Linked DNA regions of Schizosaccharomyces pombe. The protein of the gene in region 1 interacts with the protein of each later gene in a biochemical or structural test. Each region holds a gene or a part of one and is shown on either strand. Other genes may lie near its edges. The genes, in order: rho3 and apm1.

The links.
Region 2: the proteins of rho3 (region 1) and apm1 form a complex in vitro, tested with the Schizosaccharomyces pombe proteins (one study listed by BioGRID).

The regions. Positions count from the first base shown.
Region 1 is NC_003424.3:1,039,767-1,043,746, forward strand, and holds rho3 (Rho family GTPase Rho3), read left to right. Parts: upstream 1-1,682; 5' UTR 1,683-1,768; coding exon 1,769-1,832; intron 1,833-1,906; coding exon 1,907-1,979; intron 1,980-2,213; exon of another isoform or gene 2,214-2,303; coding exon 2,304-2,784; 3' UTR 2,785-3,317; downstream 3,318-3,980. Other genes in the region: karyogamy protein Tht2, read left to right, coding at 475-1,080; SPOM_SPAC23C4.09C (chaperonin-containing T-complex associated protein), read right to left, coding at 3,454-3,498, 3,616-3,746, 3,830-3,905, 3,954-3,980. UniProt on the Schizosaccharomyces pombe protein: Involved in controlling cell shape and septation. Regulates cell separation by modulating the function of the exocyst complex. Involved in post-Golgi vesicle transport. Involved in driving sexual development in a palmitoylation-dependent manner.
Region 2 is NC_003423.3:1,908,015-1,912,510, forward strand, and holds apm1 (AP-1 adaptor complex mu subunit Apm1), read left to right. Parts: upstream 1-2,126; 5' UTR 2,127-2,165; coding exon 2,166-2,227; exon of another isoform or gene 2,228-2,302; coding exon 2,303-2,408; exon of another isoform or gene 2,409-2,478; coding exon 2,479-3,126; intron 3,127-3,204; coding exon 3,205-3,669; 3' UTR 3,670-3,801; downstream 3,802-4,496. Other genes in the region: ribosome biogenesis protein Nop8, read left to right, coding at 118-1,554; fmo1 (flavin dependent monooxygenase), read right to left, coding at 4,122-4,496. UniProt on the Schizosaccharomyces pombe protein: Component of the adaptor complexes which link clathrin to receptors in coated vesicles. Clathrin-associated protein complexes are believed to interact with the cytoplasmic tails of membrane proteins, leading to their selection and concentration.

The DNA.
Region 1 (3,980 bases):
TGAAATAAACCACTAGCAATGAAATACAAGTTGGTTGAAAAATTTTTTTTTTCGCAATTTGAAAAACTAAAATTCTCTGAAATATCAGATTATCGCCGCAATATGAGAGAGGGTAAACTGATCGTAAAAGCAAAACAATTGAACTAAGTTGTTAATTCATGCAACCCGGTAGCAATCATCATGAAAATAATCTCTGAATTGTTGTAAGAAAAACGCATGGTAGCAAACTTAAGTCGCAAGCAGAGCAACGAGTCATAACTGATAATACGAATATTCACATAAGGAAATGAACTTTATAAACACTCAATTACAAATTTGAGGGCATAAGCAATTGCACTAACACTTTTTTACATGTTGGTTTATTATGTGTTTTGCTGACTTTCCTTTTGTTTGTTACTTTTTTGTTGTTACCAGCGCACCTAAACGAGAAAACGTGTATTGATCCCTTCACATTTTAACCTCACAATACAGAAAATGGAGAATCAGGTGTCCAGTTTTCTAATTGATTCTCCAATGGAATGGAAGACTTATATGAAAAGCTTGAGTGATGATAATCCCAGCTTTGGGGACGTAACAGTTAATTTGACGAAAATTAGCGTATCTTCAAAAAATGCAAAAAGCTACGCAGAAGAAATGTATAATTATGTAACTCAAGAGATGGTATTTATCAGTGAACGTAGTAGACTATTATTGCGCGCAAAAAGAAGGTTGTACAAAAATCAATCACTTATGAAAAAAACGTCTGTGTCAACCTCGAACACAGTAAAGATGGTATTTATGTCACTAGCAAAGCAAATTGAACAAATGCTCAAATTCTGTATGATGGTTTACAGCAAATTGTGCGAGGCGTTTGAAACAACGTTAAAGGTAGCGAAGGAGTTTCAAATTTGCGATTCTTCTCAAGAATGGTTTTTCCAATTCCAATTGGGTTATCATAGAAAACAGATGGAATTACAGATGCTTTCTTTTGTAGCCGAATGGCTTGTTTTAACTCAACATTATACAGATGCTCTGAATGACTCGGCAAAAACACTTTACGACATAATGGAAAGTAGCCATAAAGCGGCACAAAAAGTTTAAAAGCATATTCAAATGTCAAACAAAATTTTCTTCTTTTAAAGGTGCTATTCAATTCATGATTCCAACAGTTGCTGTGCAAATTAAACTATTATCATGAAACAAACCACGGTAAAGTTGGTTGTACTATTGTGTGACTCCTTTTTCAAACTCATCAAAGTACGATTTTCAATTAAATTTTAAACTTTCAATTGAAAGGGTTGCCTCAAAATTGACAAGCCCTTGGTCAACTTTCACTAACTGGTGCTGTTGATTTTCTTCCTATTTAGCAATCACGTTATATATACCGTGTATTTCATTTTGAGACTGAGAGTAGACTTCCCCAATATATTTTAGTAAAACTATCCTTCGAAGGTTTTGTTCATCAATGAATTAATGCTTTACTCATCAAAATATATTATGAAACAATCCTACTTGCGAAGTTCATTCTGTATTACGTATTTCCGTATCTCTTTTAATAAACTGGTTCGCATCGCCTTAATTATTCTAAATTTGATTGTTACCTGAAATGTAGAAGCCAATCTACAGCGCACAAGGACATGTATGTCCTTCGCTAAGCAGTAAGCTGGGGTCTTGCGTAGGCTTTAGCTCATGGTACAAAATTCGTACCTAAACCAAACACCTCTAATCCTTTATTATACAGAAACCATTGAAAAACCCATAGAAAGCTTGATTGAAGCTCATTGAAAGTATGTCAAGCTGTTTCGGAAGTAAAAAGAAGCCTATTTATCGGAAAATCGTAATTCTTGGTGATGGTAAGGATCTTGGTGAAAATTTTGTTTTTTCTTTCGTGATTTTCGCAGCTAAGCATTCTAACCGTAAATTATAGGTGCTGCTGGTAAAACCAGTTTGTTAAATGTATTTACTAAGGGTTATTTCCCTCAGGTATACGAGCCTACTATGTAAGTATCATTAATAGTGCAAAGCTGTAAACGGCGGAGCGGAAATGAGGTTACCGTCTGCAATATCAAGTATAACTCAATATGAAGCATCTTTTTTTGCAAACCTTTTATCTAACGGGTTAATTTGTGGAAATTTGTTTCATTTCTGAGGAAAACGAGAATGCCCGAGTGTGCTCTCCATACAGTCACACTCGTACAATTTCTCATGACCAAACGTCAAATTGCTTTTACTATGCTTGACCTGTTAAGGGTTTTCACCACTTCTTTACATGATTATCTTCTTGTACTTAAAAACTTTTTCCGTTATCTAACACCTAAAAATAGATTTGAAAACTACATTCATGATATCTTTGTCGATGGAAACAGTATAGAACTGTCTCTATGGGATACAGCTGGTCAAGAAGAGTATGATCAACTGCGTTCGTTATCATATTCAGATACACATGTTATTATGATCTGCTTTGCCGTGGATTCACGAGACTCATTAGAAAATGTAATCACAAAATGGCTTCCGGAAGTCTCTAGTAATTGCCCTGGTGTTAAATTGGTTCTTGTTGCTCTAAAATGTGATTTACGTGGAGCTGATGAGGAGCAAGTTGATCACAGTAAAATTATTGATTACGAGGAAGGACTGGCAGCGGCAAAAAAAATCAACGCTGTACGATATTTAGAATGCAGCGCTAAATTAAATCGTGGCGTAAATGAAGCTTTCACGGAAGCTGCACGCGTTGCCCTTGCCGCGCAACCAAGAGGTACAAAGGATGGTGCTGATGAATCCCATGGTACCGGATGTATCATTGCTTGAAAGCACTTTCTTTTGAAAGCGCCTAAAAGTCTTATTTCTAATGTTCGAAGTTTATTATTGTATATGACGTTAGTGTGGGTGTTGCGGTGGCCTTTGAATAGCGTTAACCTTTTTTCAATGGTTTGTACTTTTGACTTTTATCCCCTTTGCTGTTCTCAAGGTTTTAAATTTGACACTTGGGGATTCTGTCCGTTTCCAATGAGTTTATCTCCTTATTTCAGGTGTATTGTCTATCTTTCTTACCTTCCTACTTGAAACAGCAGGTATTTGTACAATCGTGAAAAAGAGTGTTTGCAGTGAACCTTACTTTCCTTCTTTTTTGAAACTTGTACACTTTGAGTTGTTCAATTCTCCTTCTGTTCGTGTAATCGTTGAGTTGCTAATCTAATCAATTAATCTACCCCTTTTCTTTTACGATAAGCATACTGTTGAGCAATAAGGATTAGTCTTTCGGTTGTAAGACATGGGTCTGAGTCAAATCCTACCGTTTTAGAAAGCACCTTAAATATTTATGTAATATGAAGTGTTACCCCTAAATATCGTAATTGAAGTTAAAAATTGTAAAAATTTAGACTACCCAATATGTTGTATTCGTGCATCCGTGCAACCCTAATTCAATTTGATCCATTTGAAAGTAAAACAAAATTTATTATGTCTTTATCCTTTAAATTAAAGATCCCAGTCATCCTCATCGTCTTGAACACGTCGATTGATCTAATTAAACAGTTAAACTCTGGACCATGTAATATAAACAGATGTTTTTTTTTGATATTTCTCTCCTCAGATGAATTTGAAATAAAAAAGGAGAGAAGGAATTAGTAAGGCACTTACCACAATTTTTGTTTCATTACGTTTGGAGACCTCACCAGAAATTTTTTCTAACAATTCGATAAGTTCGGGCTCTGAGATTTTATGAGATATCTGGCCCGTTTTGGCCATACGTAACAGGAGCTCTTCAACAGCTACACAAATTAGACACATGTTTACATTATTCGTAAACAGATATTAAATTATTATCCGCCGCAGAAAATGAAATCACACTTACCTTCAGCACGATCTTTTCGTACCAACGCTATACGACGAAGTCTGTCTCTTGCTGGGTGTTCCAAAATTTGAGAAAGCTTATGAAATTGTTAGTCGGATATGGACCATACACATCATAAACATACTAGATTTTGTCGCATTTCATCTTGTAC
Region 2 (4,496 bases), on another chromosome or scaffold:
AGCTATCTGGTAGCGATTGGTAGACTATTTTTTCGGGTTTATTTCCCATTATATTTCAGACACTCTTTTTGACCTGCGAAACTTTTTGTCCTCATTTTGTATCAATTGACTTCAATAATGGAGTTAGAAAAACGGATTTATGTTGGTGGCCTTTCATCCTCTATTGAATCTTCAGATTTGGAATCCAGATTTTCTCGTTTTGGAAGTGTTTCAAATCTTGAAATTATAAACAAATCTACTCCAGTAGGAACTATACAACGATTTGCATACTTGAATTTTCGAACAGATGAAGATAAATGGCAGAAATGCAAGTCTTACTTATCAAATGCGACGTTTAAAGGAAGTAAACTTCGTATAGAGGAAGCTCGCCCTTATTATTTAGTAAAATTGCAGCAGGAAAAAAAAATTGCTGATCTTCAAAGTACTAATAATGATGAGAAAAATGAAGATCACTCCAGCAAAGTTGATCTGGAAGACCCAGTCTTTCATGGAGAAATAATTGTTCCCGGAAAACATAGTAAAAATATGCAGGTGGTCACGGATTCTGATGTTCGGAAGGATCCTCCTAGAAAAGGTTGGAAAAAAGGCCCCTATGGAAGGGCCATTGTCGTGCTTCGAATGTATAATAAAAATACTAAGAAAACGAGGTTTTTTTATCCGCTGGGTAAAAACTGCTTACAAAAACTATGGGGCCGAGTGGAAACGAATATGGACAATACTACAGCTTTTTATGATTCTGATCATGATGAGTATGTATCATATGGGGGTAAGAGAGCTTCTCGTGACAAAATACGTATGCAAGCAAAATTGGGTATCAAAGCTTCTACTCAGAAGGATGATAACGATTTTGAACTTCTTAATAACACAACTGGGGAGATTGAAGTCACAAAAGAATTAAACGAAGAGCAATTGGATGCTTTGCGAAAAAAAGATAAGGATACGGCTGCATCTGTGTTAGCTGAACTGTTTGGTTCTGAAAATACAGAAGAAATTGATACCGTATCTAAAACTTCAGGTGTTTTGGAACTGGACAATGATTCGACTAATAATTTCCAAAAAGAAGGTTTGGATGAACAAGATAATTTACAAAAGGAAGAGTCCGTACACATAGATGTTCCTGCTGAATTTGAAGCATTTGATGAGCGTACTGCTGTTGTTAACGTTGACAATTTAAAAGAAATGTTTTCTTCCAATGCGCAGGATACGTCTAAGTTTTCTCTTTTTGGCAATGAAAATGGAGTTGGTGAGGAAAGTGAAATGGAAAGTGAGATTGATGACCGTAATTACGAAACTATGGAAGAAGAGGCAGATGGGGAAACTCCGCTAGCTATAGTTAAAGCCTCATCGGGTACCAAGGGTTGGCCAAAAATGTTTACTCTACCCAATCCTTCTTCCCTATTCCAACCAGGTAATGAAGATTATACGAGCAGAGAAGCTCTTGAATCCTGGTGGTCGGAAAATCGTCTATTCTTAACTCGTGATTACAAACGAAAAAGAAAAGATGCCGTAAAAAGACAGCGAAGGGCTCATGAAAAGCGTATTCGACTTGTTTAAAGACGCGTATAGGTTATGTATTTATTGGGAATTTATTTGGGTATTTTAAGGTTACGAGGTATATATTGATTTTTTACACACTTTTGGAATCTTTACGTTGTTATTTCTCTATCCTTTTTATTTTAGAAAAAAATCTGTGTCTTTTTAAAAAGCCACGATGTTCACTTTGGTTTTATCATTGGTGAAAGTTAACAACTTTTTTCGTTGCACTTTCTTGGGATTTGTGGCTTTTAATATTTACAATGTTTGAGATCAAATTTTATTAAAATATTTGTTATTCTTATTGTTATAAGCCAAAGTTGTCAAATAAAACATACCGAAATTTTCTTACATTGTCAGAAAAATTATTTTCCTTTTCGGCATTTACAAAACCATATAATGTAAATTAGTTATAATTATCTGAATAGATTATCTTATAAAAGAAGACTGAATGTGTGCATAGAGTAGTAATTACTCAATATAAGAAGAATTTCGTACTATATGTAAGAAACAGAAATAGTGAATTACGCTGTATTACACTAGCGGTGCTTAGGCACGGTGATGAGGCAGCCAACAGTCAATGCTAGTTATCCAGAGCGAAACTAGCTGCCTTATTCGCGGCTTCTGTAAAAATGGCTTCTGCTATATTCGTTCTGAATTTAAAGGGAAAGGTAATCATTTCCCGTGATTACCGGTAGGCAATTTTGAAATCTGAATGAAAATCAGATTGTCGCAATTCGTCGACAGGTTACTAACAGAAAACAATTAGAGCTGATATCCCCATGTCAGTAGTTGAAAAGTTTTTACCTTTAAAATCAGAAGTTGAAGAAGAACAAGGATTCTCCACCCCTTGTCTCACTCACGAAGGCATTAACGTATGTAAAAGTTAGATATTATGAAAGCCAACAATTCTTATTTTTTTATGGTCGTACTAACACTTTTCAGTACATTTACATTCACCATAATGATGTCTACCTCCTTGCTTTATCCAAAATGAATTCCGATGCAATGGAGATGCTAGTATTTTTGCGTAAAATGGCGGACGTTTTTATAGATTACTTTAAAGAATTGCAGGAAGAGTCGATTCGAGATAACTTTGTTCTTGTTTATGAATTGTTAGACGAGATCATGGATTTCGGTTTTCCACAAACAACTGAAACAAAAATCTTGCAAGAATACATCACTCAAACCTCAAATACGGTAAAAAAGCATGCTCCACCCCCCATTGCTATGACAAATGCTATCTCCTGGCGTTCTGAAGGAATTCACTATCGTAAGAATGAAGTATTTTTGGACGTTATTGAATCAGTTAATTTAATTGCTGCTGCCGATGGTACGGTCATTCAAAGTGAAATCTTAGGAAAAGTTCGTCTCAAATGCTACTTATCAGGAATGCCTGAACTTCGTCTTGGGCTCAATGACAAGGTCCTTTTCGAAGCGGCTGGTCGTACCATTAAAGGAAACACTGTGGAAATGGAAGATGTGAAATTTCACCAATGTGTTCGTCTTGCTCGATTTGAAAACGATCGTACAATTTCGTTCATTCCTCCTGATGGCGAATTTGATTTAATGTCCTATCGCATGAGTTCAAATGTAAGTTATTAGTTTGTGCCTGTTCTTTTTATTCCCTCTCTCCTTTATCAACGTTTTCTAATATTAATTTCTCGTTAGGTACGGCCATTAATTTGGGTTGAATGTGAATCCATCGTGCATTCAGGTTCGAGAATTGAGTTTATGGTAAAAGCTAAGGCTCAATTCAAAAAGCGTTGTATTGCAAATAATGTCCAAATCATCATTCCCGTTCCGGAAGATGCTGACAGTCCTCGGTTTCAAACTAGCAATGGTCATGTGCAATATGCACCTGAACAAGCTGCCATGGTTTGGAACATTAAGAAATTTGCAGGTGGTAAAGAATTTTTCATGCGTGCTGAAATGGGTTTACCAAGTGTTAAAAATGAAGATATTCAAGTTCAGAAAAAACGTCCTGTTCAACTAAAATTTGCTATTCCCTATTTCACTACCTCAGGGATCCAAGTTCGTTATTTAAAAATCACCGAACCAAAACTTAATTATCATGCTATGCCTTGGGTTCGATATGTTACACAAAATGGTACTGAATATTCCATCCGTCAGTAAATGTTTCTAATGATGGTTCTCCGTTCCGTTCTTTTTTCTACCTTTAGATACCTTTCCCTTCATCTATATATTTGTTTTCTTAGTGTACTGATCCCATTTATTACGAAATGAAATCTTGTTTGCAGACGCGCTAATCCTTTTTCTTACTCAGCTGACATAAAAGGAGCATTTGCTTGAAACATAAATGTCTAAGTCTATTTATTGTATAAAGGATAAGTTCAATGTTTTTATTAAAACAGAAATAAAGATTTTCTAACATACAATTCCATTTACTCAGTAGTGAATCTCCGTGTATTAAAAATACATAAAAGACAGATTGTTCCAAACGGTTTTCTAAACATAATAAATTAAAAACCAAAAGCGAGAGAATGAGAGGGAGACCGGATAGTAAGAAAAAGATTGAAGGGAAAAGTTTAAAGGTCTAAGGGTGTAATGAGTTTTCAAGTACGTATTTACTTTGGAGGTTCAATTCCGAAAAACTTAGCACGGATGGACCACATGTTTTCACGGATGCTTCGTTCCTTCTCGCCCCAATACGGTGACGGAAACTCTTCTTCAAGAACAGGTGTAGCCTGTTTACACCAGTCGTGTAGCTTGTTAATGTAGGTAGCGTCTTTTGGATAATCCAAAGAGTGATACATATTATTTGCTCCACTCAGCGAAAACATTAATTCGTCTTGCCATTTCAGCTGCTCTTCTTTGCTGGGTAATTTGAGGCGACCAGACCAAACTCGCGCGAGGAACGCTGCCTGTGCTTGACTAGTAGGGAAAGGAACAACGTGTAGAGCTAAACCAACAAAAGCCAGAGTTGGATCGGGGATATAAAA